4 linked regions of the Elephas maximus indicus genome follow. The protein of the gene in region 1 interacts with the protein of each later gene in a pairwise test. Links are inferred from orthologs where the notes say so. Each region holds a gene or a part of one and is shown in the gene's direction. Other genes may lie near its edges.

Region 1 (7,715 bases):
ATGCCTTTTGTATATGTTGCAAGTGAAAGAAAACAGATTAAGCTAGCTTAAGCAAATAGAAATAATATTCTTAAAGTAATACTTTTTTATTTTAGTGAGGTTATTGATCATGTCCACCACCCATCTTTCAGTTTCTCATACTGTGGTGGCTTGCGTGTTGCAGTGATGCTGGAAGCTATGCCACAGGTTTTCAAATACCAGTGAGGTCTTCTGTGGTAGACAGATTTCGTGGAGCTTCCAGAGTAAGATAGATTATAAAGAAAGACCTGGAGATCAATTTCTGAAAATTAGCCAATGAAAACACCAGGGCTTACAGCAGAATATTGTTTAGTATAGTGCTAGAAGATGATCCTCCTAGGTTGGAAGTCACTCGAAATACATAGGGGCCACAACAATGGACTTGAGCATACCCACAACTGTGAAGATGGCACAGGCCTGGGCAAAGTTTCATTCTGTAGTACACTAGGTTGCCATGAGTCAGAGACAACCCAACAGTAAATAATAATAACATTGATCACGTAAATGAAAAATCTAGGTCTTGACCATCAAAGATGGTGAATTGCTCAAGTGATGTCAGGCACTTTCTTTCTGCATCTAACTTCTGGTTCTCAGTGAGCTGGGTTTATTCTTGGCATCCTTTATCCAAGTACGGGTAAAGATATACACACCAAGAACACCACACTTATAGGCTACCAATTTAGCAGACCTAAACAAGCACTTCTTTTCTAACAGATTATCAAAAGTCCTAGGACTGACTCCATTGGGCTGGTTACACGCTTGGCATTGAGCAGTCACTGTAGGCAGAAGGATGGAATTTACCGACAGCCCATGTGTGTGTTGTGTTCACTGACCTGGAGCTGGATACAAGGTTCAAAAAAAAAAAAGAAACCAAACCCGTTGCCGTCGAGTCAATTCCGACTCATAGTGGCCTTATAGGACAGATTAGAACTGCCCTACGAAGTTTCCAAGGAGCACCTGGTAGATTCAAACTCCTAACCTTTTGGTTAGCAGCCATAGCACTTAACCAGTATGCCACCAGGGTTTCCAGGTACAGGGTCAGCCCTATCTAAGTAACAGGGACTGAGAAGGGAATAGACACATGACCCCAAAGAAAACTAGGATGCTGTTATCATAAAAAAGAAGAGGACGTGAATGGTGGATGAGGAAAAAAAAAAAGACATCCACTACATTTCACCTCTAGACAACTCAGTATTGACACACACACTTCTCTTTTTTTTCATATACAACCTTTCAAAAATGTTCCCACTTAACATATCCTACATGAAATTAAAAATGTATTCATCTTATTCCAGGGAAGACAACCTGAAGTCTTTTCCCGTATTGTGTCTGGCTCAAAGTCAAGGGTCATTTAGTGATTTGCAATCCTCGTGGTCTAGTCCACGTGTGGGTCTTTATGGCTGCCAACTCATGGTGCAGTGCTAAATCTACCACCAGCACTCTCAGCACACAATGATGGAGGAGAACAGTTTGGGTCCATGGTACACAGCCAACTCTGCCTCTTTCGTCAGTAGAACAAGTTCCTTGATCCACAAGTCTGAACTAGGACTAACTGCACCATCTCAGAGGTCTCCCTGTCCTGACAAGTCCAGTAACGGCATCTGAGATGAGCATCTGGGAGGATTTCCCTCTCTAGTTTTGAACATCTTTAGCCTCCTTCGCCTAAGGGAAGAACTTTGGTTATGATTTGCCAGTTTTAGAGTTTTTCTGATAGTTCAACTCCATTAGCACTTCACTCCATCTGCTTTCTATTCAAATCCATTTGTTTTCTATCCATCTCTTGAGCTAGTAAAGAAGTCAGAGATTTTCTAGATTAATAGCCCGCTAATCTCTTCTGCTCGGATGCTTACATGTCTTAGATACAAGCCTCTGAACTCTGTAAACTCCACTGACTGTTTAGAAAATGCCCTTTTACCTGGGGTAATGCATAACAGTGGCCTAATGTCGGGGAGACAGAGCTCTCATCTGTCAGCACGATAGGCAGCTCTTTATAGGAAATGGACCAGAAGTGCTTGGGAGGGGCCTAAGGATTCAGTTTTTTCCAGTTTCCCACATTTTCTCCTTCTTTGTTTCTAGCCATGCTCTCACTACCATGAACACTAGCTTGATCCACATTCCTTCTTCTGCATGTGGAAATCTAGTTGTCCCCGCACCATTTGTTGAAAAGGCTTCTTTCCCCATTGAATGGACTTGGCACTTTGTCAAAAATCAATTTGCCAAAGAAAGACACTTAGAAGAACACAAGGAAAAAAAAAAAAAAAAACAACCACAGCTAATACCATAGCATATACAACTGTACAACAACAGTAAAAACAAATGAAAATTTACAAGCGGATACATAAGATATTCATATATATAGTAAAGCCCAAAGGTGGCACAGTCATAAAAGCCTCCCAGACACAACCAAACATCTTGAGGAGCCAACTTACTGGTGCTGAGGGCTGAGGACCATGGTCTCAGGTAACATGTAAGTCAATTGCCATAACATAGTCCATAAAGAAAATGTTCTGCATCCTACTTTGTTGAGTAGTGTCCGGGGTCTTAAAAGCTTGCAAGTGGCCATCTAAGATACATCTATTGGTCCCATCCTATCTGGAGCAAAGGAAAATGAAGAAAACCAAAGACACAAGGAAAATATTAGTCCAAAGAACTAATAGACCACAATTACAACAGCCCCCACCAGTCTGAGCCCTGAAGAACTAGTTTCCAGCTACCACACAGACCACTCTGACAGGGATAACAACAGAGGGTCCTGGACAGAGTGGGAGAAAAATGTAGACCGAAATTCAAATTCACACACACAGAGACAAAATAGACTTACCGATCTGATAGAGACTGAAGGAAGCCCTCGGCCTATGGTCCCAGACACCCTTCTAACTCCGAGCTGAAGCTAAGCCCAAAGTTCATTTTTCCAACGAAGATTAGACAGGCCTGTAAGACAAACAACAGCACATGCGAGGAACATGCTTTTTAGATCAATGAAATACAAGAGACCAAAAGGGGTAACGCTGGCCCAAAAACAAAGATGAGAAGGCGGAAAGGGACAGGAAAACTGAACGAATGGAAACGGGGAACCTGGAGTGGAAAAGAGGAGAGCGCTGACCCATTGTGGGGATTGCAACCAATGTCATGAAATGATTTGTGTATAAACTTTTGAATGAGAAACTAATCTGCTATGTAAACTTTTATCTAAAGCACAAATTAAAAAAAAAGCAATTTGCCATATATTTTGACCAAAGACTCTACAGAAGAGTCTTGATCAAAAGGGTGAAAATGCAGAACATAATTTCAAATTCTCATGAAATCCAGACTTTCTAGAGCCATGGCGGCTGGATGAACCACCAAAATTCTTGCCCTGAGATAATTTTTAAACCTTAAACCAAAACTATCCCCTGAAGTCTTTTTAAAACCAAACAGTAGTTTATCTTAACAACTATCCTTACAGCAGTACCGTGCTCTTTTGATTACTGTGATTTTATAGTACCTTTTGAAATTGGAAAAGTGTGAACCCTCCAACTTTGTTCTTCTTTTTCCAGGGTTGTTTTATTTTGTTTTTTTGGCTTTTCTGGGTACCTTGCAATTCCATAATAATGTTATGATCAGTTTGTCCATTTCTGTAAAAAGGCAGCTAGGATTTTCATATTAATTGCTATAAATCTGTACATTAATTCGGGAGTCCCAGGCACTTCCATAAAAGAAAAATTTCTTCAGCTCACAGTCCCCAGTAATCAACAGGTGGAGCCCTTACCTTTGTGCACCTTAAACCCCACAGAGTTACTTGGCCATTAGTCACATCGTAGAGAAATGTGTTATGTGCTGTGCTTTTTTCACTCCATTTAATATTCTCATATTTATAAAGGAAACCCTGGTGGAATAGTGGTTAAGAGCTACAGCTGCTAACCAAAAGGTCAGCAGTTCAGATCTACCAGGCGCTCCTTGGAAACTCTATAGGGCAGTTCTACTCTGCCCTGTAGGGTCGCTATGAGTCGGAATTGACTCAACGGCAACGAGTTTATATTTATAAAACACTTTACAAATATAAAGTATGGTATTAGAAGCTAATTCTTGGTTTCATCATTAGGTGACTAGTTACCACATAAGAAAATCACCTTGACTAATTTTACATGATGTAAGTAAAAAAAAAAAAAAAAAAATTTTTTTTTTTTTTTTTAAGTAAAAGGCGTAACAATGCTTGGGCTTAAGTTTAGAATATGAATTTAAGATTAGTTTCTAGCTGCAAAATTGGCTGCTATTAAAATGATCTTTTAGGAAACCTAAAAAATTAGGCTGAGCATCTGCCTATCAATTGCATAGCCCAAGATTGTCAAGTACAATTTCCTCACACACATTACTAATACAGAATTTTGTCAAGCAATCTCTGTCTGTCTTTATCGTTATACCCTCAGCTGTATATCACTAGAATCAGTTACTTCAGCAGGTTTGAATTATGAATGCATTCCCGCCTTTAGGGGGCAGTCATGGTAAACCCAGACATTCAAAGTAAGAGGTTCTGCACCAGCAATGAGGACTAAAGATCTGTGGTTAAGCTACTGATCCATAAATAGATAATCCTTTTGCTTTGACTACTGCAAATTTCCAAGAAGGCTGCCAGCAGACTGAGAAATGCCTTAGCGTTAGCCAAAGGAAGAGAAAGAAAGGGAATTCTGCCCTGTTGTTTTTATTAAAACATGCCCAGCCTTTTCCAAGACAACCAAGAGGGCCTTCAGAAACACTGTTCCAGGTCATCTACGTGGAAGTTTTTGCCCTTGTTTAGGGCTGAAGGATATAATGCAACCATCCACCGAACCCCAGAACACGAAGAGGACACCAAAGCTGTGCATCACTTCAAGGTAAGATGACCTCTTTACAATCCATGATTCTTTCTTGACAAGGAGGAGGATTTATCCAGAAAGAACATAAAATCATAAACAAGCTTGAGTGCCATTGCTCACTTGATTTTACTGAAGGTTTACCACCAGGGGAAAACTATATTCGTGATGACAATTACCTGATACGTCCAGTTTTCTTCAACCTCAGCAGCGTGCGTTTATCAAGGCAAGCCGTTACTCGTTGCTTTTTTGTTTTGGGAGATGCTGTTTTTCAAAGCAGAAAACCTAGCCATAGATTGGGTGGCTATTGATATTAACCCTTGGATATTTTTCTCTGATGTAAAGATTTTATCCTATGTAGTAATGAATGAAAAAATGTATACTGCTTTTTATAAAGACTGCTAGAGAACAAAGTCAATAGACTGATACAAGAACATAAGAACATTAAGGAGTTAAGAGGATTTTTTTTTTTTTCTAAATTCCAAGTAATTCCTAAGACAGCATGACTTTCTACCATTAGACAGATGATGACCCCAAAGAGTGGCAATTTTACTGCTCAATGTAGTGTGTGTCTTGTGGAAAGCACCATTTAAGTCTGTAAATCCTCTTAGCTATTAATAGAACCAAAGGGTTATTTTGGTGTGGAGGGGGGATGCCCAGGTGTTAGTGTCTAACAAATAATGGTCAGAGCTAAAAGTTAAACGCTGCAAAATTAGACCACAGCAAAGGGTAAAGCATTCACTTTAACACTAAAAATTCATTTGCCCTTGTGCTGTGGCTCATATCCCAACGATAATCATTCTTTATTTGCAGACGCTATTTAATTCTCTTGATCTGCCTCTTCCCCTGATGTTATTTTAACTAATTGGCACAAGCAGAAAAAAAAAACAAGTTAGAAAAAATTTTTTTAATTATGTGGAGGTCTTTTATGTGTTTTTGACCTTTCAAATATACGTGAATTAACAAAGTCACATGAATTTCCATGCCACCCTTATTATCACTGTGGAAAAGAAATGCCTAATAAACTGCTTCCATAAAGATTATAGCTAAGAAAGTCCTGTGGAACAGTTCTACTCTGTAACACATGGTGTCTCCATGAATCAGGGCTTAACAACAATCAACAAACTATTATCCTATTATCAAGTAACTAAGCACTAGGACTTGAAGAAACCAGAATGAAATAGGATCTAGTGACCGAAAGTCCTTAAGTGATGGGCATCTAAATGTAGGCAAGATGTGCGCTGCTGCTGTATGGTGCTGCCGAGTTGGTTCAAATTCATCACCACCCTATTTACAAGAGAACAAAACACGGCCCGGTGCTGCACCACCCTCACAATCATTGCCGTGTTTGAGCCTGTTGTTGCGGCCGCTATGACTCTCTACCTCGTTGAAGATCTTCCTCTTTTTTGCTGACCTTCTGCTTTACCAAGCATGATGTCCTTCCTGATAACACGTCCGAAGTACATGAGACAAATCTTGCCATCCTAGCTTCTAAGGAGCATTTTGGCTGTACTTCTTCTAAGACAGATTTGTTTGTTCTTCTAGCAGCGCATGGTATGCTCAATATTCTTCGTCAACACCAAAGCTCAAAGGCATCAGCTTTTCTTCAGGCTTCTTTATCCACTGTTCAGCTTTTGCATGCATGTGAGGGGACTGAAAATATCACAGCTTGGGTCTGCCACAGCTTAGTCCTCGAAGTGACATTTTGCTTTTCAACACTTTAAAGAGGTCTTTGCAGCAGATTTTCCCAGTGCAATAGGTAGTTTGATTTCTTGACTGCTGCTTCCATGGGCATTTATTGTGGATCCAAGTAAAATTAAACCCTTCACAATTTCAACCTTTTCTTCATTTATCATGATGTTGCTCACCAGTCCAGTTGTGAAGATTTTTGTTTTCTTTATGTTGAGGTGTAATCCATACTGAAGATAGTTGTCTTTGATCTTCATCAGTAAGTGCTTCAAGCCCTCTTCGCTTTCAGCAAGCAAGGTTGTGGCATCTGCATAACACAGGTTGTTAATGAGCCTTCCTCCAACCGTGATGCCATGTTCTTCCTATAGCCCAGCTTCTCAGATTATTTGTTTAGCATACAGTTTGAATAAGTATACTGAAAGGATACAACCCTGACCCACACCTTCCCTGATTTTAAACCACACAGTATCTTCTTCTGTTCAAACAACTGCCTCTTGATCTACATACAGGTTCCTCATGAGCACAATTAAGTGTTCTGGGATTCCCATTCTTCTCAATGTTATCCATAATTTGTAATGATCCACACAGTTGAATGCCTTTGCATAGGCAGCAAAACACAAGTAAACATCTTCCTGTTATTCTCTGCTTTCAGCTAATACCCATCTGACATCAGCAATGATAGCCTTCATTCCGCATCCTCTTCTGAATCCTGCTTGAATTTCTGGCAGTTCCCTGTCAATGTACCGTGGCAACCATTTTTGAATTGTCTTCGCAAAATTTTACTTGTGTGTGATATTGATGATATTATTCGATAATTTATGCATCCTGTTGGATCACCTTTCTTTGGAATGTGCACAAATATGTATCTCTTCCAGTCGGCTGGCTAGGTAACTATCTTGCAAATTTCTTGGCATAGACGTGTAAGCACCTCCAGCGCTGCATCCATTTGTTGAAAGATTTCATTTGGTCTTCTGTCAATTCCTGGAGCCTTGTTTTTCACCAATTCCTTCCGAGCAGCTTGGACTTCTTCCTTCGATGCCGTCAGCTCTTGATCATAAGCTACTTCCTGAAATGGTTGAATGTCAACCAATTCTTTTTGGTACAATGACTTGTTATTCCTTCCATCTTCTTCCTGTATCCTTCAATATTTTGCACATAGAATCCTTCAAAATTGCAACT
Region 2 (7,912 bases), on another chromosome or scaffold:
TTGCTCATATGCAAGTTCAAGCTGAAACTGAAGAAAATCAGAGCAAGTCCACGAGAGCCAAAATATGACCTTGAGTATATCCCACCTGAATTTAGAGACCATCTCAAGAATAGATTTGACGCATTGAACACTAGTGACCGAAGACCAGATGAGTTGTGGAATGACATCAAGGACATCATCCATGAAGAAAACAAGAGGTCACCGAGAAGACAGGAAAGAAAGAAAAGACCAAGATGGATGTCAGAGGAGACTCTGAAACTTGCTCTTGAGCGTCGAGCAGCTAAAGCAAAAGGAAGAATTGATGAAGTAAAAAAAGGGCCTCTCGAGAAGACAAAGTAAATTATTATAATCACATGTGCAAAGAGCTGGAGATGGAAAACCAAAAGGGAAGAACATGCTCGGTGTTTCTCAAGCTGAAAGAACTGAAGAAAAAATTCAAGCCTCGAGTTGCAACAGTGAAGGATTCCATGGAGAAAATATTAAACGATGCAGGAAGCATCAAAAGAAGATGGAAGGAATACACACAGTCATTATACCAAAACGAATTAGTAGATATTCAACCATTTCAAGAGGTGGCATATGATCAGGAACCGATAGTACTGAAGGAAGAAGTCCAAGCTGCTCTGAAGGCATTGGCGAAAAACAAGGCTCCAGGAACTGATGGAATATCAATTGAGATGTTTCAACAAACAGATGCAGCGCTGGAGGTGCTCACTCGTCTATGCCAAGAAATATGGAAGACAGCTTCCTGGCCAACTGAGTGGAAGAGATCCATATTTATGCCTATTCCCAAGAAAGGTGATCCAACCGAATGTGGAAATTATAGAACAATATCATTAATATCATACGCAAGCAAAATTTTGCTGAAGGTCATTCAAAAACGGCTGCAGCAGTATATCGACAGGGAACTGCCAGAAATTCAGGCTGGTTTCTGGGACCGGGGATATCATTGCTGATGTCAGATGGATCCTGGCTGAAAGCAGAGAATACCAGAAGGATGTTTACCTGTGTTTTGTTGACTATGCTAAGGCATTCGACTGTGTGGATCATGACAAACTATGGATAACACTGCGAAGAATGGGAATTCCAGAACACTTAATTGTGCTCCTGAGGAACTTTTACATAGATCAAGAGGCAGTTGTTCAGACAGAACAAGGGGATACTGATTGGTTTAAAGTCAGGAAAGGTGTGCGTTAGGGTTGTATTCTTTCACCATACCTATTTAATCTGTATGCTGAACAAATAATCCGAGAAGCTGGACTATATGAAGAAGAATGGGGAATCAGGATTGGAGGAAGACTCATTAACAACCTGCGTTATGCAGATGACACAACCTTGCTTGCTGAAAGTGAAGACAACTCAAAGCACTTACTAATGAAGATCAAAGACCACAGCCTTCAGTATGGATTACACCTCAACATAAAGAAAACAAAAATCCTCACAACTGGACCAATAAGCAACATCATGATAAATGAAGAAAAGATTGAAGTTGTCAAGGATTTCATTTTACTTGGTTCCACAATCAACAGCCATGGAAGCAGCAGTCAAGAAATCAAAAGATGCATTGCATTGGGTAAATCTGCCGCAAAGGACCTCTTCAAAGTGTTGAAGAGCAAAGATGTCACCTTGAAGACTAAGATGTGCCTGACCCAAGCCATGGTATTTTCAATCGCATAATATGCATGTGAAAACTGGACAATGAATAAGGAAGACCGAAGAAGAGTTGACGCCTTTGAATTGCGGTGCTGGCGAAGAATTTTGAATATACCGTGGACTGCCAAAAGAACGAACAAATCTGTCTTGGAAGAAGTGCGGCCAGAATGCTCCTTAGAGGGAAGGATGGCAAGACTGCGTCTTACATACTTTGGACTTACTGTCAGGAGGGATCAGTCCCTGGAGAAGGACATCATGCTCGGCAGAGTACAGGGTCAGCGGAAAAGAGGAAGACTCTCAACGAGGGGGATTGACACAGTGGCTGCAACAATGAGCTCAAGCGTAACAACGGATGGCGCAGGACCGGGCAGCGTTCCGTTCTGTTGTGCATAGGGTCGCTATGAGTCGGAACGGAATCGATGGCACCTAACAACAACAACGTGTTAGAGGGGTGATTACTGCTCTTCTGAAAACGACTCAAAATGGCCCATTTCCCTGGTGCATCACAATTTCAGTATATTTTTAATTACAAAGCCAATCCATGCTCTTTGAAAAAATGCAGTGACAGAAGTGCATCCTGTAAAAAGCGAAGGTCCCCCCCCATTGAACACCTTTGGCAGTCTCCCCAGTGGTAATATTTTGCAAGCTACAGAGCAATATCACCATTAGGATATTGACGTGACCTACTCGTTTTATCCAGACTTCCCCAGGTTTACTTTGCTCACTCTTGTGTGGGTGTATTTAATTCTGTGCAATTTTATCACCTGTGTGGGTTCACGTATTCTCCACTACACTCAAGAAGATACAGAACAGTTTCTCACCACAGTTCCGTTGCATTTTAAATAAGGTAATGTACCAATTTCAGTAAATCCGTTTCTCAGTGTAAGACAACCTGTAACGTGGCTCCAAAAGGCCACTTTTAATCCCTGCAGCAACACCCTCCCACAGAAAATACAAAATCCAAAAGTAAATAAATAAATAAAGTGAGCCATAAATGAAAGCCTCCATGTAATTTAAATTTTTCTAGTAACTACATTAAAAAGGTAAAAGGAGGTAAATTTAATTTTATCAATATATTTCATATAATCCAATATATTCAAAATATTATCATTTCAACATATAATCAGTATCAAAATCATAAATGAGGTATTTTACTTTTTTTATACTGAATCTTTGAATCAGTTGTATATTTTACACTTAGAGGCCCATGGCCGTCGAGTCGATTCTGACTCACAGCAACCGAGTAAGGACAGAGTAGAACTGCCTCGTGGGGTTTTGAAGTTGTAATCTTTACAGAAGCAGACTGCCACATCTGTCTTCTGTGAAGTGGCTGGTGGGTTCAAACTGCCAACCTTTTGGATAGCAGTCAAGCACTTCACCACTGCGCTACCAGGGCTCCTTCAATCTTCCTTACTTATTATCCAGCTTTAGCATCCCTCTGAGGCAAATGAAAATACAACAGCTTGGGTCACATGCACCTTAGTTCTTAAAGTGACCTCTTCGCTTTTTAACATTTTAAAGAGGCCTTTTACAGCAGATTTGCCCAATACAATACGTCACTTGGTTTCTTGACTGCCGCTTCCCTGGGCGTTGACTGTGGATCTGAGCAAAATGAAATCCTTGACAACTTCAATATTTTCTCTGTTTATCATGATGTTGCTTTTGGTTCATTTGTGAGGAGTTCTGTTTTCTCTATGTTGAGATGTAATCCATCCTGAAGGCTGTAGTCTTTGATCTTCATCAGTAAGTGCCTCAAGCCCTCTTCACTTTCAGCAAGCAAGGTTGTGTCATCTGTATATTGCAGATTGTTAATGAGTCTTCTTTCAATCTAATGCCACGTTCTTCTTCATGGAGTCCAGCTTCTCGGATTACTTGCTCAGCATACAGATTGAATAAATATGGTGAAAGGATACAACCCTGACACACAACTTTCCTGATTTTGAACCACACAGTATCCCCTTGCTCTGTTCAAATGACAGCCTCTTGGTCTTTGTATACATTCCATATGAGCACAAGTAAGTGTTCTGGAATTCCCATTCTTCCCAATGTTATCCATGATTTGTTATGAGCCACACAGGCGAATGCCTTTGCATAGTCAATAAAACAAGGTAAACATCCTTCTGGTGTTCTCTGCCTTTAGCCAGGCTCCATCTGACATCAGCAATGATATCCCTGGTTCCACGGCCTCTTCTGAATCCGGTTTGAATTTCTGATGAACAGCAGCAGAACGTTGTCTGATATAGTACTGGAAGAGGAACACATCTGGTTGGAAGACACTCAAAAGAAGACTGGGGAAGAGCTGCCTCCTCAAAGTATCAAAAAAAAAAAAAAAAAAAAAAAAGTCCGCCACCCTCAAGTCCATTCTGATTTATAGCAACAGTCTAGGACAGAGTAGAACTGCCCCATGGGGTTTCCAAGGAGCAGCTGGTCAGCAGCTGAGCTCTCAACCACCGTGCCACCAGGGCTGGGGCCTCAATGTATGGTCGACCTCAATGATGTAAAGGGAGTAAAGCTTCGGGACCTTCATTTGCGGACTTGGTACGACTCAAGATGCGAAGAAACAGCTGCAAACATCCATTAGTGATCAGAAGGTGGAATGCAGACATATGTGGTTGAATCTAGGAAAACTGAAGTCGTCAAAATTAAGTGAAATGCAAAAAGATCGCTGTCCTAGGCATGAAAAAACCCCACTGCGGTTGAGTGGATTCCGACTCAGCGATCCTAGGCATCAGAGAGCGGAAATGGACTGGTACTGGCTATTTCGAATCAATCCTACGGTCCTGTGGTCTATGCTTATAGTAGCCCTATGGCCACCATAATGGGTATCGCAGCCACATGGCTACCTGACAGTCACGACCCTTGGCATGAGGATTCCAGGTTCCCAGTGGAAACCCCTGGCCTGGGCCAGGCGCCAGCGCGGCCTCTGTCGTTTCACGATCTCGGCTGCAGAGTACAGAGACTCTGGGGCGGGGCCCGCGGGACGGAAGAGGCCTGCGGGGCGGGGCCGCGGGAGGGGCGGGGCCTGCAGGGGGCGGGGCTTGCAGGGCCGGTCCGAAGGGGACATGCGCAGGCCGGGAGGGGCGGGGCGCGAGAGACGGCGCCCTGCGGGGCAAGTCGCTCGGGAGGCGGGGCCTACCGGGCGGGTCCCGCGGGAGGCCGGCGCAGGCCGGGATGGGGCGGGTCCGGGGGCGGGTCCTGCGGGGGACGGCGATCCACCTGCGCGCAGCGAGCCGGCGTCGCGGCCCCGCCCACCGAGCCGCCCGCGCTCGATTGCTCCTGTCTGGCGGCGGCAGCATGGCGGCGGGGGCGCCCGAGGCGGCAGCCGCCGTGGTGGAGGTTGGCTCGGCCAGGCAGTTTGAGGAGCTCCTGCCCGTCAAAGCCAAGTAAGCGGGGCGGCGAGCGGCGGAAGTTAGGAGCCGTGGCGGAGGCCGTTCGCGAGGCCCGGCCCCACTGGAAGGCCTGGCCGGCTCCCTCCCGCCGTTCGGTCGCGGCCTCGGTGGACCGCCCGGCCCGCGGACGCCCCATAGTCCTCATTTGGGGTTCAGAGCTGGACGGCCCAGAGTCTGGCTTGCTTTGCCTGGGAGAGTCAGCAGTGCGGAGGCCGCCCCCCGCCCGGCCGCTGAAGTGCGGCTCCGGGGGCGCGGCCCGGCCCAATTGGCGGCCCGGGCCCGTGGACCCGACTCTCCAGCCTCGGGCCTGGCCATTCTGGGGTCACGGACGCGGTGACTCAGCTTAGCAGTCTGGGCGGGGCCGGAGACTTGGGTGGGTCCTGGAGAGCAGGGGGCGCTGAGATCCGGGTTGGGCCTGGAGCAGGGGGCTCTGAGACCCGGGCTGGGCCTGGAGGGCAGGGGGCTCTGAGACCCGGGCTGAGCCTGGAGGGCAGGGGGCTCTGAGACCCGGGCTGAGCCTGGAGGGCAGGGGCCTCTGAGACCCGGGCTGGGCCTGGAGGGCAGGGGGCTCTGAGACCCGGGCTGAGCCTGGAGGGCAGGGGGCTCTGAGACCCGGGCTGAGCCTGGAGGGCAGGGGCCTCTGAGACCCGGGCTGGGCCTGGAGGGCAGGGGCCTCTGAGACCCGGGCTGGGCCTGGAGGGCAGGGGGTCTGAGACCCGCGCTGGGCCTGGAGGGCAGGGGGTCTGAGACCCGCGCTGGGCCTGGAGGGCAGGGGGCGCGGAGACTCGCGCTGGGCCTTGGGGTGCGAGGGGTTATGAGACCTGGGCTGTGCCAGAAGGGCAGGGTCCTAGAGACCTGGTCTGAGCCAGGAGGCGGGGGAGGGGGGGGGGCGCGCGGAGACCCCAGCTGGGCCTGCAGGGCAGTGGGCCATGAGATCCGGGCTGGGCCTGGAGGGCAGGGGCTCGGAGACTCGCGCTGGGCCTTGCGGGGCGAGGGGTTATGAGACCTGGGCCGGGCCTGGAGGGCGGGGGACGCTGAGACCCGGACAGGGCATGAAAGGTGGGGGATGCAGAGACCCCCCGCTGGCCCTGGGTAGGGGGTGGGGGCGGATGGGGAGGGCGGGGGTCGGAGACCTCAGCTGGGCCTGGAGAGCGGGGAATGCGTCAGTGGGGACCCCAAGCCCGTGGGTCCGACCTCTCTGTGCAGACTGTAATCGGACAGGTCGCACTTGTCTGTACTGTCTCTTAGCGTCACTTTGTAGAACGTACCTGTCACCAGGAAAAGCAACCAATCAAGCCGTACCAGGGTTAGGCAGTTCTGTCTTCATTTTAAAATTATATTTTAAAGTTTGTTGGTACTCAGGTTGCCACAGGCAGGGATTTCCTGTTTCCTGAATCAGTGTAGTCCGAGTTGGCTCAGGTTGGCCCACGTGCTTCTTGCCCTTGAGAAGACTACAAAGGGATGCCCTGAAAACGTTTTTGGATAAATGGAAGCTCTGAACTATATGCATGCTTGCAGGTAGATGCTTGCAGGGGTGAATGCTTACAAGTAAATGCTTACAGGAATGCCGATGAGCGCTCCTTAGTAACAGTGCCACCTCAGCTCTAGAGCCCTGGAAGGACTGAGTTCAGATGGAAGCTCTAGTGTCAGATTGCGTGGGACCAGATTCCCAACGTGGCCAGTTACCAGGCATTATGGGACCGCTGGGCCAGTTTCATAAGCAAGCGTCAGTTTCCTAAGCGGTAGAATGGTTTAGAGTAGTACCTACCTCCTAGGGTTGTGTGAGGATTAAACAAGACTATGACTGTAAAATACCTAGCTCGTTCGTTGTCTGGCATGCTGAAAGCACGTGGAGATGTTGACTGTTACTGTTTTCAGTATGGAGCGGAGTGCCTGCATGGAGTTCACAGGCCATAAATGCTTAATTGATCTAAATTCAGTAGAAGTTTGTCACTGAATTTGAATTAGAAGCGGGTAGTACTTTGTGATTTTTTCAATGGAGAGTGCAGATGAGATGGGGGCTTGCCTTTGTTGAAGATGGGGAGAAGTGACAGATAACTCTTCTGGCTGGCCATGCTTTATGGAGGCAATGAAGTCCAAGTGCTAATTAAAACAGCTCTTTTGGCATTTCAGGCTTACCTGGGAAATTGTTAAACGAGGGGAAATGAGGTTTACTCATTGATGAGCACTGGACTCTGGTTCATCCTGCACTTTTCCACACAGATCTGAAGGCAGCAAAATTACGGAGGACATGAGAGGTGGCCTCTGGAAGCAAGTACAGCTTGTGTGGACCTGCCCTTGATAAACGTTTTCAATTTACCGTCACCTGACTTTGGTTTTTTTGTGTGTTTTACGTTTTTTTTATGCTTCATGTTGTAAACAATCTTTAAAATACCACAAGGGGTAAAGGCTTAAATGTAAATACCAGTTAGATGTATTCTTGCTACTGGTCTGTACTTGAAATGACCCAAAAACCCTCACACCCTTTCTGTAGTAATTAGCGTAAAAAGGCACGTGGGACACAGGATCTGGCATCTGGGGAAGGAACAATCTCTGCCTCTTGTGAAAACGTCAGCATTCAGAACATGAGGTAGTAAGTAGCCCTGGTGGAGAAGTGGTTAACAGCTACAGCTGCTAACCAAAAGGTTGGCCTTTTGAATCCGCCAGCCACTTCTTGGAAACTGTGGGGCAGTTCTCTGCCCTATAAGGTCGCTATGAGTCAGAGTCGACTTGAAGGCAACAGGTTTGGTTTGTGTTAATGTAATCATTTAAAATCTTTCCAAATCATCCCTTCTCAGTTTTAAAATTTGGTATGAATTGAAATTTTTTTTTTTTTTTTTTGCTTAAGCTATCTAATTAGATTTTATAAG
Region 3 (7,298 bases), on another chromosome or scaffold:
AGACTTGCCATGTGGAAAATGGATCTCTGGAACGCAGTGCAGGCTGTATTTGGAGGTGAGTAAGTTTACACCATCCCAAAGGGGCCCTGCTGACATATGAATTCGAATTGAACAGCAATTAGTCATATTTTCTTAAGCAGTGTAAACTATCATCCAGAAAAAGGGTCATCTCTTTTATTAAAGATTGCAGGAAATATGTGATTCCACATCACTGAAAAATGGTAACATCTTGATGAATTTTCCATGTTATTCTTTCAGTTGTTACAGTATTGCACTCCTGTTACTAGGTCTTCTGATAATAGGCAAGTCTGTAGGAGCTGTAAAAGGAAAAGGGTGATTGTAGGGGAAGTGGGGTGGGGTATTGTGTGCAGGTGTGTGTGTGTATGAGATGAGGGAAAATGAACTTTTAACAAGAAGTACAGGCTACAGGGGAAAAAAATGGTGATTCTATGGTAGTTTCCAGTCACTCCTCTACAGAGAGGTTCCAAACAAAGAAAGCTGTTCAACAAGTCTGGAGATTTAAAGAAAACAGTCCGCTAGCATTTAGCCTTTAAAAAAAAATGTATATATATATATATATATATATATATACACACACACACATATATATACATACACAGAAACATATACACACACATATATATTCACAGACACACACAAAACTGTATTCGAAAAGTATGCAGTTGTCTCCAATTGCTAGTCTTTCAAAATGACAAAAACTTGCCGCGGTAAAATTCCTTCAAGCAAAGGATTTTAGGAAAAGTTATGGAAAAGTTATCGGCGTTAAGTGACATCGTGTATTTGCGCCCCCCCCCCCCCAGCAGGAGAGCACAGCTAGCTGCAGCTCTCTGGGGGAAGCTTTCAGAAACGCTCTCTAACCCCAGGGAAGGATGCCACACAGAAATCGCCCGACCCGAGCAGCCTGAGGCTCGGGTGGCCAGCGTCACCCACCCGGTTTACTACGGATTCGGGCACCATTCACCCCTGAAGGGCCTTTCCGAGAGGCGGACCCCCTTAGCCGCGCCCGACCTACCAAGTGCCAAACCTTCCCTAGCCCTGTATTTGCTAGGGTGGTAGGGGCGGGCGTGCGGACCCGCTCCCGGCCCCTCCTGACCCGGTCCCGAGCCTCGCAGGGCTCCCATTTGGGCTGCTTAGTGGCGCCTGCACGCCCCGTAGCGGCAGCAGAGCGCGGACCCCGGGATTGTGGGGTCAGGCCCCGGGCTAGGGCGCCTCGTCCGGACTTGGCTGCGTCCGGCCGGGCGCCGGCTCCGGGCCGCGGGCGCGGACCCAGGACGCCGAGGGGCTGGGAACCCGAAAGCCCGCGCTGCAGGAAGAGAGGCAGTGGGCTCGGAGGTCGCAGCGGAGGAGGAGCATTGGCGGTGGGCTGGTTAGGGCACAGCCCGCGGGCAGCTGCGGAAATTCCGCCCCTGGCCAGGATCCCTCGGCCCCGAAGCCAAACCTCTCCGCTTGCTTTAAGTGTCCTTCAGAGCCTGGCCGGGCCTCGAGGTCACCTGGGCGCGGGATCCGGGCCCCGGGGCCCAGCTTTATCGCCTCCTCCCCGGCCCGGAGGCCTTGAGCTGGGTCCGCTTCCCCTCCCCCGGCGCTGTCTCCGCGGTGCGGCCGTTGCTGGAACGGTCGCAGATTCTGGCCCGGTGTCTCCCACCTGGACATTTGCCTAGCGACGGCCGCCTCAGCCCTCTGCACAGCGTACAAGAAACTTTCCTCTCTCTCCCTTTACGCTCTCCTCCCTCTCCCCTCTCCTCTCTCTCTTTTTCTTCTCTTAATCCCGGGGTTTTATGGGCTGAGCATTAAGAAAATTCGCCTGCAATTTGGGATTAGATAAATACTCTTATGGGGGGGGGGGGAATTCCATGCTACTTGATACCTCCCGACTTTCCTGAGACGGGTGGCAGCATCTGGAGCCGAAAGCGTCGGACTCCCGCTCGGCGGGCCCTGGGGACCGCGCGACACATTCCAGCGCGCACCGCCTCCCCATTTTGCCGGGCTGGTCCTGGACCAAGGCTCCGGCTGCCGGCGAAACAGGGCCCGGAGGAGCAGGAGACGGAGAGATTGCGGCACTGGGGCAAGGGCACGCACTCCGGCGCAGGCAGGCCAACCCGGGCACACAGCGCGCAGGCCCGGGTGGCTGCTCCGGGCTACGGATGCGGACGCCGCCGGCGCGCGCTCCTGGACGCTTGCACACTTCCCCCACCTCCAAACTAGTGAGCTCCAGCCAGCGCCTTGCCCCGGAACTGGGGGCGGGGGTGTCTTTCGTTTCTTTCTTTAACTCTCAGCACCATCTCCCGGGCTCCGATACCGGGGCTGCTGACTGCAGGCCGCACGGGCTGCCCCTGGCGGGGGCCTGCGCAAGCCTGAGTGTGTCCGCTCCGGGGGCCAACGATGCGCTCAGCGCAGTTTCTTTTCCCCTTAAAGCTTCCCCCCGCCCCCCGCATCATGTTTTTCCTTTCCCCTCGTTCTTTTATTCTGCTTTCCCTCTCTCTCGCTTTCTCTCCCTTTTGTGAATGGGCAGCGGTGTCTTTGTTCTGGAGAGAAGCGCCCGTGTCGCTGACTTTTGTGAACCAGAGAAGGATCTTGTAAAACCTCCTTTTCTCCTTCGTACTCCCCCACTCCCGCCCCTCCTTCCCTGCCCCTTTGATTAGATGTTCCTTCATCGTCAAAAAAAAAAAATGTAATTTCGTTGGTCTGGCGGCCACTTTCTTTGAACATTAGCTCGCTTTCAGCTCCAACTTCAATTAGAAGGAGTTGATTTTGAGAGATCAACAAAAGAACCGACCAAAGCCTTATTAAGGTCCTAAGAAGATCTCCCGGGTTCTTTGAGAAGCAGTTAAGGAAACAGTGTGCCCTCCATCATATTCTGTTACCGTATTTTATTCGGACTCCAAAGGAAAGTGTCGCTTGGGGGGAGGGGGAAGCACTTTGATGAGCTGCAGCCGCGGCCTCTTTTCACTCAGTGGGCTGCCCTTCCTCCTCCTCCTCGCCCAGCCCCCGGGCTGATGACGGTGCCGGACTCGGCGCCCCGGCCGTGTCGGCGCTCCCGAGCCATGCGCCTATCGGCTCCGTGACTCGCCCTCACACTTAACTGCTGCTCAAACTTTTCCCTCCGCCTGCTGGGGTGGGGGGATTAGAAAGAAGGGATGGGAATTCCTCGAAAGGAAATAAAGTCGTGCCTAGTATTCAGAAGGTGGTGCCATTGAAAACAACTGGCTTGTTCAAGGCTGGGGGCGAAAACGCTTTTTCTGCTTTGAAAAATCCACCAAGGTGGATGGGTAGGAGTTTGTTCGACTGGGAAATAGGCTTCGCCAGTAGGAACAACCCGGGAAAATCGCTTCAAGGAGGCTACTTCCGGGGCAGGTGGAAAAGAAGTTGAGGACAAGGGCCTGTGGCCACGTTTTGACCAGACTGTCCCTGGTAGCTGAAAATGGGAAAGAAGAGCAAGACAGAGTGGGAAAGAGAAAGTTTCCTATCAAAATCTTTCGATTCAGAAGAAGCGTGTGTGTGTGAGGGGGAAGGGACGCTGGGCTGGAACGTTTCAGAAGAAGCGTTTAGAATCTAAAAACACCCTTCGGGGAACAGGGCACGCCGAGAAGCAGGTAGGTTGCGGTGTCTCCCTTGCGGGTGCCATTTCCCAGCGCAGAAGTCTTGAGGCGCCGAGAAGGCATCTGCGCGCTGGGAGCTGCTCCCGCGCTCTGCAAAGTTGCCGGAGCCGGCACGAGCCGCCCGCGGCGTCCGCAAGCAGGTGACGGCGCTGGGAAGGAGACGCTGGGGCCCGCGCAGCCGCCAGAGGGGCCTGGGGCCCACGCTCCTCGAGTCCGCGGCCCCTGAGTCCTCGCGCCCATACCCGGGCCGCCGAGCCGGGTGAGCGCGCGGGAGAGCGAAGAAACCGGTTCTCCAGCACCTCGCCGCCACTCCCTCGGCCGCGCCGCGAAGGCGGGAGAGGGGGGAGAGGGGCGGGGGCCCCGGGCCAGGCCTCGGGACCCGCGCCCCTCTGCGGCCGGGGCTCCGGCGTTGCGCTCTCCTCGTTCGCCTGGCTTTGCGCGGCGTTTGGCAGTCGAGCCCCGGACTTAGCGCGCCACCGGGGCGGGGCGGGGCGGGGCGGGGCGGGCGGGCGGGTGGGGACAGCGGGGTGCAGGGGGCGGGGGAGGGCGGGGGCGCGCGGAGGTAACCCTCGGCTCGAGCTGCCATTGCCCGGCTCCCTGTCACTCAGCCCGCGCGGGGCCCCCGATTGGCGGCCTAGCCCCGTTACGCACTCGCCTCGCGTTCACATACTCGGGGAGGGCAGTAGAAAGGTGATCAATCTTCATCTGGCTACATTTCCAATCACCTAAACAACCGAGAAAGACAAGCCACTGCGACAAGGTAAATCGCTTGATTTATTTAGTTTACAAAGTGTCTGTTCAAGAATTCCCCAGCCCCTACCGCCTCCCTCCTGTACCAGGAGTGCAGCAACAACCGCGAGCCTCCTCCCAACTCTGTCCCTCGCACCCCCTCACCTCCTCCCTGCGGCCCTACAGCTCGATCCCCGGCGAGGCAGTGTCCCAGGAGCGTGTAGGGTTTTGCCAACAAAGTGTCTGTACAATAAAATGAAACTTGGAGGGACACACATAAAGCCACTGGGAGGGAAGAAAGAGATGGGAAGAGGGAAACTGGAGAAAGAAAGAAATCGGGGGTCCCAGACCAGCCTCGTCCAGTCCGGCGGGTAATTCCTGCGCCCCTCTGTTTTGCAGGTTGGCTGCCCGGAGGGTCTCGTTGAGGGCGCGAGGTAGATGGTGAGCGGCCGCGACAACTGAGGGCAGGTAAGGAGAAAGCCCAGGGGCCTCCCGGGACGCGGGGAGCGCGTCGGTTGCTCTTGCTTCCACCTCTTCAACTGGGTTCCGGCTTCCACAGGTCCTGGGCTGGGGGGCGGGGCTGGGGGGAATCGGCCTGGCGCCCCTCTTGGTGCGTGGAGGACCCCAGAGCGCGACTACAGTCCGGCGCTCCCGCCCGCCCAGTCTCCCCCGCCTCCTCCGAAGTGAGCGAGCTGAAGTGCTAAGTTTGGAGAAAGTCTTTGAATACACTGCAGCAGCCTAACAGAGCCGCGGTGGCTGGAGTCCCGTTCTCCCTGGGCCCAAGAACCCAGGCTGTTTCTCCTCCTCTCCTTCCCTGTAAACCCAGGCCGCAAGTCCCGGAGGACCGGGGCAAGGGCTTCTTTAGCTCTAACTTCTGTCCCTGAACTTCCTAGCCCAGCTTCCAAGGCCCGCTTTAGAGAGTTCCTGCGAAGCGGGATGAAGCGACAGGGCCCCTGGGCTCCAGCCCCACTCCTAGCGCCCCTTCCTGACCCCTGACACTAGAGCCTCGGGTTTGGGAAGCTGCGGAAACGAGGCTTCAACCTTCCAGTTAGGGGCTCGCGGGTTATGCCTCTGAGGCCTAGTTTTTTAGTTTCGGTCAGGTCCCGGGGCCGCGGGGTCCAGGGAGCAGGATAGGCAGGGGAGCTCAGGGGATCGGCTACATCCAGGCCTCCCAAATCCCCGAGGTCTTTTGGAGCGCCGAGCCGGTCACGCTTCAGCCTCATCCCGGGCCCCGTTGTCAGCAACAGGACCCAGCAGAAAGAAGGCCCGGCCCGCACCTCGGAAGAAGGGCCCGAGGCTCCGGCAGAGGCACCCGCCACCTCAGGCCGCGTCTTGCAACCACCACCTCTACGGTGGCCCCTTTTGCGTCTTTTGGTTGTGTCTGGGAGATCTGGGCCAGTAACTGCGCTTGAGGTGTGGTGGGATTCTGGGTGAGAGATCTTTCAGGGACTAGGCACAAAGGTCATCTGGAGGGGTGGCTGCGGACGGTGGGGCCGGGCCCCAGCTGCGGAAACCTTTAAAGAAACGAAGCCTCCCAAGTGGGCTCCGCGTCCAGAAGAGGCCAGGGGCGCCGGCCCTCCGCAGTGCTTCACCTCGGCCCTCGGGAGTGTCTACCTTTTCTTCCCGCTTTCAAGACATTAGAAACAAAACAGAATAACCCTTCATGTTCTGGGCAGCCTGCGGCCAGGGGCTGAATGAACGTTTGGTTGTTCAGCATGAGGCCGGCTCCCGCCGGACTCAAAATTTTGCTCAGGCTTAGGACCCTGCTTCCCCCTTGTTGAGGGCTTAGACCTCCCCAGCCCGGCCAGGCTTTTAACCTCTCCTCACTCCCAGCTCCGCCCTACGAGTGTCTTTCGCCTATTCTAAGCCCCAAGAGAGGCATGGAGACTCAGGAAAGTTCATTTTTCAAAAAAAGCTGTGGTCTCTGGATTTAGGCCTTATGGAGCTGAGTTGACCGCGGCGCTGTGCAGTCCCGGAGCCTGTGCACCCTCCCCATCCCGAGGTTTCTGACCTCGGACAGTACCTGGGAGCCAGGGTGGCTTGGATTGACGGTTACCATGTGTGTCATGTCTCCTAGGCCGGGCCCCCAGACGCAACAGAGCTCAAAGGATTGCGCGGTGGGAAGCCCGCACCGCGCCAGGCCCCCGGCCCCCTGGATCCGTCGGGGCGCCTCCACCCGGCTGTTAGCATGATGTCTTACCTCAAACAACCCCCATATGGCATGAACGGGCTGGGCCTAGCCGGGCCGGCCATGGACCTGCTGCACCCCTCCGTGGGCTATCCGGGTGAGCACCGGCCCTCCCAGCCCCTCCGCCCTTGCAAACGTTAGGGATCCTCAGTCTCTCGGGTCTGAGGCAGCCTGTTGCCGAGTAGGCCCAGGTAACCGATTGCCTAGTCTGCTTTCAATGCAAAGCTGGCTGCAGGCGCAGACAACAGAGTCAGGGGTGGGTGAGATGGACCAGGGCAGTGAAAAGGTGCAGCAATCGCCCTTCCAGCCCAACCGTGGGGGCAACCTGTCTACTGTTGTGCTCCCATCGCCCACACAGTGCATTTACCCACGGATTCGTTTCCCACGGGTGGCTATTACTTTTGTGGATCTAATCACTTTTTTCCCCCAGCAACGAATGAGAAATCTGAAGTCCCAGTGAGCTCTAACGGAAAGAGCTTGGCCCTAAGGCCTAACTTCCCTTATGTGAACATGCAGGCTGAGTTGAGGAAGGGTGGCCCTCCCCTGGACCTGTGGCTTGTACCAACTCTTCCACTGCTGAAGCTGACGGCTTGAGCCGAACCCTGGGTTTCTTTTCCAGTTTCCACTACTGCACCCCCATTTATTCTCTGAGTGTTTTCAGATCGTGTTTCTATACACCCTTCTCCCACCCCCAGCCAGCGTGTGTGTCGAGTGGAGGGGATGTGGAGGAAGGGAGATTACCTGACTTCTCTCCCTTTTTTAAC
Region 4 (7,332 bases), on another chromosome or scaffold:
CAAAAACACAAAATGATAAATGTTGGAGAGATTGTGGAGAGATTGAAACACTTATATACTGCTGGTAGGAGTGTAAAATGGTACAACCACTTTGGAAGTTGATTTGATGCTTCCTTAAAAAGCTAGAAGTACCATAGAAAAATAAGAGCACTCACACAAATAGATATATGCACACTCACGCTCATTGCAGCAACGTTCACAACAGCAAAAAGGTGGAAACAACCTAGGTGCCCATCAAACAATGAATGGATAAACAAATTATGGTATATTCACACAATAGAATACTATGCAACAATGAAGAACAATGATGAATCTGCAAAACATCTAATAACATGGATGAATCTGGAAGGCATTATGCTGGTTGAAATTAGTAAGTCACAAAAGGACAAATATTGTATGAGACCACTATTATAAAAACTCCAGAAAATGTTTAAACACAGAAGAAAACATTCTTTGATGGTTAAGGGTGGAAGTAGAGAAGAATTATCTTAGGCGGACAACACACTGTTCAGGGGAAGTCAGCACAACTGGACTAGACCAAAAGCTAAGGAATTTCCTGAATATGACCAAACACTTCGAGGAACAGAATAGCACTGGTGGGGATCTGGGGAACCATGGTTTCAGGGGACTTCTAGGTCAATTGGCATAACAAAGTTTATTAAGAAAATGTCCTGCATCCCGCTTTGGTGAGTGGTGTCTGTGGTCTTAAAACTAGTGAGTGGCCACCTAAGATGCATCAGTTGATCCCGACCAACCTGGAGTAAAGGAGAATGAAGAACACCAAAGACACAAGGAAAATATTAGCCCAAGAAACAAAAAGGGCCACATAAATCAGAGACTCCATTAGCCTGAGACCAGAAGAACTAGATGGTGCCTGGCTACCACCAATGAACACCCTAATAGGGAGTACAACAAAGAGTCCCTGATGGAGCAGGAAAAAAGTAGGGTGCAGAACTCAAATTCTAGTAAAAAAACCAGAATTAATGGTCCGACTGAGACTGGAGGGACCCCAGAAGACAAGGCCCCAGGACTCTCTGTTAACCCAGAACTAAAACCATTCCCAAAGCCAACACTGGACTATAAGACATAAAATGATACTCATGAAGAGTGCGCTTCTTAGGTCAAGTAGATACATGAGACTGATGGGCAGCTCCTATTCAGAGGTCAGATGAGAAGGTAGAAAGGAATAGGAGCTTTTTGAATGGACATGGGAAATCCGGGGTGGAAAGGAGGAGTGTGCTGACATATTATAGGGATAGCAACTTGGGTCACATAACAATGTGTGCATAAATTTTTATATGAGAAACTAACTTGAGCTGTAAACTTACACTTAAAGCACAATTAAAAAAAAAAGAACAAACAATTTTAGCATAACATAGTTTATAAGGAAAATGTTCTACATTCTACATTGGTGAGTAGCCTCTGGGGTCTTAAAGAAAAGATTATTTTTCCTAATTAGCAGTGTTCTAGTAGTGCCTCGAACTGTGAAGGGGTCTTTATTGTGCTGAGGGGTATGTGTTTTTTCCCCCATGATTTGGCTAAATGTGATGTTTGGCGGCATTACCAAAGAGGGACACAAGTGTTTAAAGCCTGCTCTCCTTGTCTCTATTTCAGTTCAGATTGTCCCTAAGCTTGGGGGACAGTGGGTGTGTCAGGGGCAGGGATGGGGCTTCTGAGTCCTCCTAGAACAATATGAATCAAGAGAAGAAGCAGGGCCGAGGAAGATGTACAAATACAGCATAGTTCTTATTGGAGAATCGTGGAAGTTTGAGATAAAAAGCGGAGGGTCCTAGCCTGAGGCAGAGGGTCCCGCAGTCCAGCGGTGGAATCTCTGAGAGATATTAGATGTCAAGCACAGAATTTGTGCTTTTCTCTGCAGCCCTTCTCCTCCCTACCAACTGGTTTATTCTTAACAGAAGAAGGTCAATTCCATTGTCTGTAGTTGAATTATTTGGGAGAGATCTGATAAACTAACAACAACTAACATTTCTTGAGGGCTTACTTTGTTGCCGGAGTCCACGGGTTGTGCGATAGCTAAGCGTTTGAAAACCTACTAACGGAAGGGTTGGTGGGTCGAGTCCACCCAGAGGAGCCTCTGAAGAAAGACTTAGTGATCTACTTCTGAAAAATCAGCCGTTGGAAACCCTATGCACAGTTCTACTTTGAAACACATGGGGTGGCCACAAGCCTAAAAGACTTGATGGCAACAGTTTTTATTTATGTATTTTTGGTTTCACCTTGTTGCCAGGGACTCTTCTAAAGGTATCTTATACTTTGACTCATTTAATCCCCACAGAGCCTTGTAAGGTAAGTACTATTATGATCATGCACATTTGGGGGATGAGGAAACTGAGGCACAGAAAATAGAAAGCGACCTGTCCAAATCACAGAGATAATAAGTGATGGAGCTGGAAGCTGCACCCAGGCAGTTTAACTCCAGGGCCCATTCTTACCCATCATGCAATACTACCTCTCTATCCTCCCACCCAGGATGTAGTCTATTTTTCCATGTATTTGCATCTTTGCCATTTTCAGTAAAATTTTGTAATTTTTAAAATATACACCTGTATAATTCTTGTTAGAGTTATTTTAGTATATTTTAAGGGCTTTTTATGAGTGTGGTAGAATTCTTAAAATTATATTTTCTAGCTAATTATTATTTAAACTTACTGTCTTAGTTTTTTCTCAGTCTGTCTTAGTTATCTAGTGCTGCTATAACAGAAATACCACAAGTGGATTGCTTTAACAAACAGAAATTTATTCTCTCACAGTTTAGGAGGCTAGAAGGCCGAACTCAGAGCACCAGCTCAGGGAGAGGGATTTCTTTCTCTGTTTATCTTCCCCTGGGTGTAGGAGTTTTCTCAGCACAAGGACCTCAGGTCCAAAGGACACGCTCTACTCTTGGCTCTTCTTTCTTGGTGTTAGGAGGTCCCTCTCTCTCTGCTCCTCTCTCTCACCTCTTATCTCTTACAAGATAAAAGATGATGCAGGCCATACCCCAAGAAAACTCCCCTTATTGGATTGAGGGCTGTAACCTGAGTAAGGGTGTTACATCCCACCCTAATCCTCTTTAACTTAAACTAATCTTGCCTCATTAACTACAGGCAAAGATTAGGATTTAAAACACATAGGAAAAGTACATCAGATCACAAAATTGAGGATAAGCACAGAATACCAGGAATCATGGCTTAGCCAAGTTGACCCATATTTAGGGGAGACACAATTCAATCCATGACACTGCCTTTAATGACTACAACCAAAGCCACATGTGAGTTCAAGAATTAAATTTGAATTTCAAATAAGCAACCTTTTTTTTAGTATGTTTCATACAATATTTGAGGCATACTTATACTAAAAATTATTCATTATTTATCTGAAATTCAAATTTAACTGAGTGTCCTGTGTTTTACCTGGCAACCCTAAAAGGAGCTGCAAACAGAAATTCCTACAGTGGTCAGGAAGCCATTTCCCACATGTGGTGGTGTGTGACACATAGTCGGGGGTGGGGACCCTGGGTGACCTGGAGCTTCAGGGCTCTGTCCACGTGGGCAGCTGCTACCCAGCTCACACCAACTGGGTTTGCAGAGATGGTCTTGAGTGTGCCCAGTCTTCTAATGTTTCAAGACAGAATTAAAACCTGTATTTTTGATGTGGAATCTCCTGATTTTAAAGGTAGACAGCCAATTAGAAGAAAAACATTGTGAGGTACAAATGAAACAGGCCTGTGGGTTCTGTAAGGCCTACGGGCCACAGGTTTGCAACTTCTGATCTAATCTCTAGATAGTGGGTGGGGCAGGGTTTTTTCTCCTGTAAATTCTGGTGTTTTGCAATGTCAGGGTAAACAGTATTTGGGTTAGGGGAAGGGATGGCAGCTCATGCAAAAGGTAAGATGTGGAAGTGGTTCCTCTGGCCACAACTCAATGGTCTCTCCCCTCAGTGCTTGAAAGCGCCCCGCTGGCCAACCTCTCTGCAGTTAGGCAGCAGGTTATGCCCACCAGGCTGGCCCCTGATTCTTACCTGCTCCAGCAGGTCTGAGAAAGAGGAGCCTAACCTACCAGCCTTTTCAGGTAGCAAAGCAACAGCAACTGGGACTTTGAATGCTTTCGTCAGAAAATTGTGGGTAGAAGCTTACAGCGGTTTACCCTGAGCTCCTTGAGGCTTTCAACTTCAGGCGCAAATTGCTCCGAGCTCCTTGAGGCTTCTCAGCTTCAGACGTAAAGTGAGTGGGTGTTTCTCTGAGAAACAGAAAGAGATCGAGAGAAGTGTTTCCCTTAGCTGTGGAAACTCTATAAAGAGAGCTCCGGCTTCCCTTTTCTTGAGCACTTAGCAACAGGAGTCCCCTCCTCTGACACCTCAGCCTACACAGGATCGAGAAGAAGTAAAATTCTTTGCCTGGAGGGTGCCCTGAGTTCCTGGCTGCCATGTGGCAGCCACTGAATTACCCATATCCCCAAATCTACTGGGTGGACAGCAGCTCCAGCTCTCCTTTGGCCCCTCCAGGGTCTGCTCTCCCCTGCCCTTCCTCTGTGCCTGGAAGACCCGGCCAAATGAGGCCACCACCACCCCCACCGCCACCGCTGCCACCACGGCCACCACTGCCTCCATTCCCACCATCACTTCTGAAGAAGAGACGGAATCCCAACACAGGCCTATATCTCCTCGTAATGTTTTTCATGGTTCTGGTGGCCCTGGTTGGACTGGGGCTGGGGTTGTTCCAGCTCTTCCACCTGCAGAAGGAGCTGGCTGAACTCAGAGAGGTAAGCCTGGCCTGAGGGGGGCTGCGTGCTGGGCTCACCAAGACAGCTCTGTGCAGTGGGGGCCGAGGACCACTGTGGCCCACTGCTTTCTTTGCCAAGTGCTTCTCAATCTTTTTTTTCCTCTCTTGGAAATGGGTTATTACGCTCATTCCATTCTACAGGCAGAGAAATAGAGAGCCATACATGTGAGGGGATTTTTTTTTTCCTCTGTCTTATAAAGGATCAGGGCCAAGATAGGATTAGCATTTACAATTCCTTTCTCAGTTGGCTAATCAGTCTGCCTAGCTATTTACTGCCTAACACCTAGTGAGTCAAAAAATAAAATAAACATTGATTCTTGCTTAGAAGTGGATTAGTTCAAATGGCCAAACTAAATCTCCTTGAAAATCCTTTAAAAATACTAGTACTATTCCAAATCACAAAACTGAGCTAGAAAGGGCACAACTGCTTGGCAAAAGTCTGAGATCAGAGAGATTCTGAGGTATTTGGGTTCTCTTTCCAGGGCTTGGTTTTTTTTGACAATCCTGCCTCCTTTGCCTAAAGGTCTTCATATTTATTACATATCTTTTCTCTTTTGCCAGTCCACCCGCCTAAGCCCTGTAGCATCATCTCTGGAGAAGCAAATAGGTGAGTCCTTTTATGTACATACATTGAATTCTCAAAGATAGTCCTCAACACTAAACAATGTTGGTGCAGTGGCTTGCAATCCTTCTCATTCCTGGGCATGTATATACTACGAGAGGGAGCCCGGCTAATTCCAAACCTCTGGTCATTACGGTTTATTCTGCTACTTTAAAATATGAAGTGAATTTAATTGTTCAAAATCAGTGTAGCTGAGTACTGTACAGAATTCAAAATAACTTGTACTTGACCTTGGATGGAGACACACACACACCCTGAACTTTTGCCTCCTGAACTGCTGGCTCCAGGCCTGTCCCCTTCCTCAGGCCTCCTGAGTCCGGTGCCCATGGCAGTGATTGTAACTCCCAGGGAGACAGAGTGGGGTGGAGACAGAGAAGGTGTTTCTGGGAAATGTTCTTTCCTTTTTAAACTTTCTAAAAGAGATTACTCAAGAGTCAAACTCTATTTTAAAAAAATATTTTATAAACTAAACTCAGCTTGTAATAACAGTACAGCCAATCACCTTCATTAGGATGGTTCTTCTGGAATGACTGGAAAGTTTAGGGAAGCCTAGCAACTATTCAAAGGAAAGTCCAGCTTCACACCTAGAAGCAGTCATGTGCTCATATCCTTTGTATGAGACTCAGGACAGGAAGAAGGTAAAGTTGTTGAACAGTGACCTCATGAAGCTTCAGGCCATAGTTTTTGAAGTGCTGAACAGATAGATTTTTAGGATATTCCCAATCTGTCTTAAACTAAGATTCATTGAACTCATAAGATTTGGTTAGAGTTGAAAGGGAGCTTAGAGCTTATTTGATCCAGCTCATTTTCCAGAAAAGAAACAAAATACCAGACAGATTAGGTGATATTCCCAAGACCACTGACATGGACCTCAGACTAGAGGAAACAAAGCTTTTGACGCTTCGTCACCTGTGGGGCCTTCCAGCATGCGGACTGGTGCCTCATAGGATAAGGAAAAGCCTGTCTCTCTGATGGCCATGGAATGAGAAATAAGAGGAAAGGCAGGATGCCTCTGCAAGTAGGCACATCTCATCCCTGGAAACCGAGCAGAACACAGAAGGCAGAGCTGGCCAGCCATTCGGTGGAGCGTGCTTGGGTTCTTAGGGGGTGCCTACTACAGGCAGCCCAGGTACCTTGCTGTCCTCGGTTGTAAGTTCTTGCAGGAGCAGGTGCTCTGGAACCCAGTTCTGGGTCAGAGCCCCTAAGTGTTAGAAAGTCCAGACATACACAAGCAGAGAGGAAATATTTGTTAGAAAAATGAAGACTTTGGAAGACTTCTAGAAGGAAGTAGCTTTGAAAACCAGTGGAATGGGGCTGGTGAAGAAGGCGCCTTATTACTCATCTCTCACCTACTCAGTGGAGTCATTTTAGTGAGGAAAAGTCAAACGAACAGATGACTCAGGTCTACCTACCCCAGGAAACATGTATCTTCTCTAGATTGACCCAGGTCAACCTGAAATGGGTGAAATATCACATGGAAATCAAGGTAGTAACTTTATCAGTAGGATAAGAAATTCAAATGGAGATAGGGGATACCTATTTTCATACATCAAATTGGTAAAGATTTAAAAAAAAAAAAAAGGATAATACCCAGATTGGCAAAGAGATGAGAGAAAAGGGCTTCCTTCAACATTAGTTGACAACCAGTGGCAATATAAATTGCTATAATTTTTCTGAAGAACAGTTTGGAAAAAGATATCAATAACCTAAAAGTGTTAACTTACCTTGAAATCAACGCAATATGAATTTGTCTTGAGAAAATAATCAAAGACATGCCTGGAGATTTATATAGAAGGAAGAAACCTCATGCCTTATAACAGAAGAGTAGTTAAATATAGTGAATTTAGATGAGAGAATACTATGCAGCAACTAAAAACTGTATGTTAGAAGGACATTTAATGCCACAGGGACTGCTATTGCATATTTTTAGATG

The links.
Region 2: the proteins of RGS20 (region 1) and GLRX3 interact in binary tests that used the Homo sapiens proteins (3 or more experiments, as listed by UniProt). The link is inferred for Elephas maximus indicus from reciprocal best matches to the Homo sapiens genes RGS20 and GLRX3.
Region 3: the proteins of RGS20 (region 1) and OTX1 interact in binary tests that used the Homo sapiens proteins (3 or more experiments, as listed by UniProt). The two-hybrid records come from large-scale screens. The link is inferred for Elephas maximus indicus from reciprocal best matches to the Homo sapiens genes RGS20 and OTX1.
Region 4: the proteins of RGS20 (region 1) and FASLG interact in binary tests that used the Homo sapiens proteins (3 or more experiments, as listed by UniProt). The two-hybrid records come from large-scale screens. The link is inferred for Elephas maximus indicus from reciprocal best matches to the Homo sapiens genes RGS20 and FASLG.

The regions. Positions count from the first base shown.
Region 1 is NC_064833.1:86,221,013-86,228,727, reverse strand, and holds the start of RGS20 (regulator of G-protein signaling 20), read left to right. Parts: upstream 1-4,706; coding exon 4,707-4,855; intron 4,856-6,718; coding exon 6,719-6,737; intron 6,738-7,715. UniProt on the Homo sapiens protein: Inhibits signal transduction by increasing the GTPase activity of G protein alpha subunits thereby driving them into their inactive GDP-bound form.
Region 2 is NC_064834.1:80,051,830-80,059,741, forward strand, and holds the start of GLRX3 (glutaredoxin-3), read left to right. Parts: upstream 1-4,904; 5' UTR 4,905-4,947; coding exon 4,948-5,036; intron 5,037-7,912. UniProt on the Homo sapiens protein: Together with BOLA2, acts as a cytosolic iron-sulfur (Fe-S) cluster assembly factor that facilitates [2Fe-2S] cluster insertion into a subset of cytosolic proteins.
Region 3 is NC_064835.1:73,744,881-73,752,178, reverse strand, and holds the start of OTX1 (homeobox protein OTX1), read left to right. Parts: upstream 1-4,292; 5' UTR 4,293-4,377; intron 4,378-4,745; 5' UTR 4,746-4,814; intron 4,815-6,385; exon of another isoform or gene 6,386-6,423; 5' UTR 6,424-6,534; coding exon 6,535-6,631; intron 6,632-7,298. UniProt on the Homo sapiens protein: Probably plays a role in the development of the brain and the sense organs. Can bind to the BCD target sequence (BTS): 5'-TCTAATCCC-3'.
Region 4 is NC_064821.1:210,464,817-210,472,148, reverse strand, and holds the start of FASLG (tumor necrosis factor ligand superfamily member 6), read left to right. Parts: upstream 1-4,323; 5' UTR 4,324-4,421; coding exon 4,422-4,757; intron 4,758-5,338; coding exon 5,339-5,384; intron 5,385-7,332. UniProt on the Homo sapiens protein: Cytokine that binds to TNFRSF6/FAS, a receptor that transduces the apoptotic signal into cells. Involved in cytotoxic T-cell-mediated apoptosis, natural killer cell-mediated apoptosis and in T-cell development.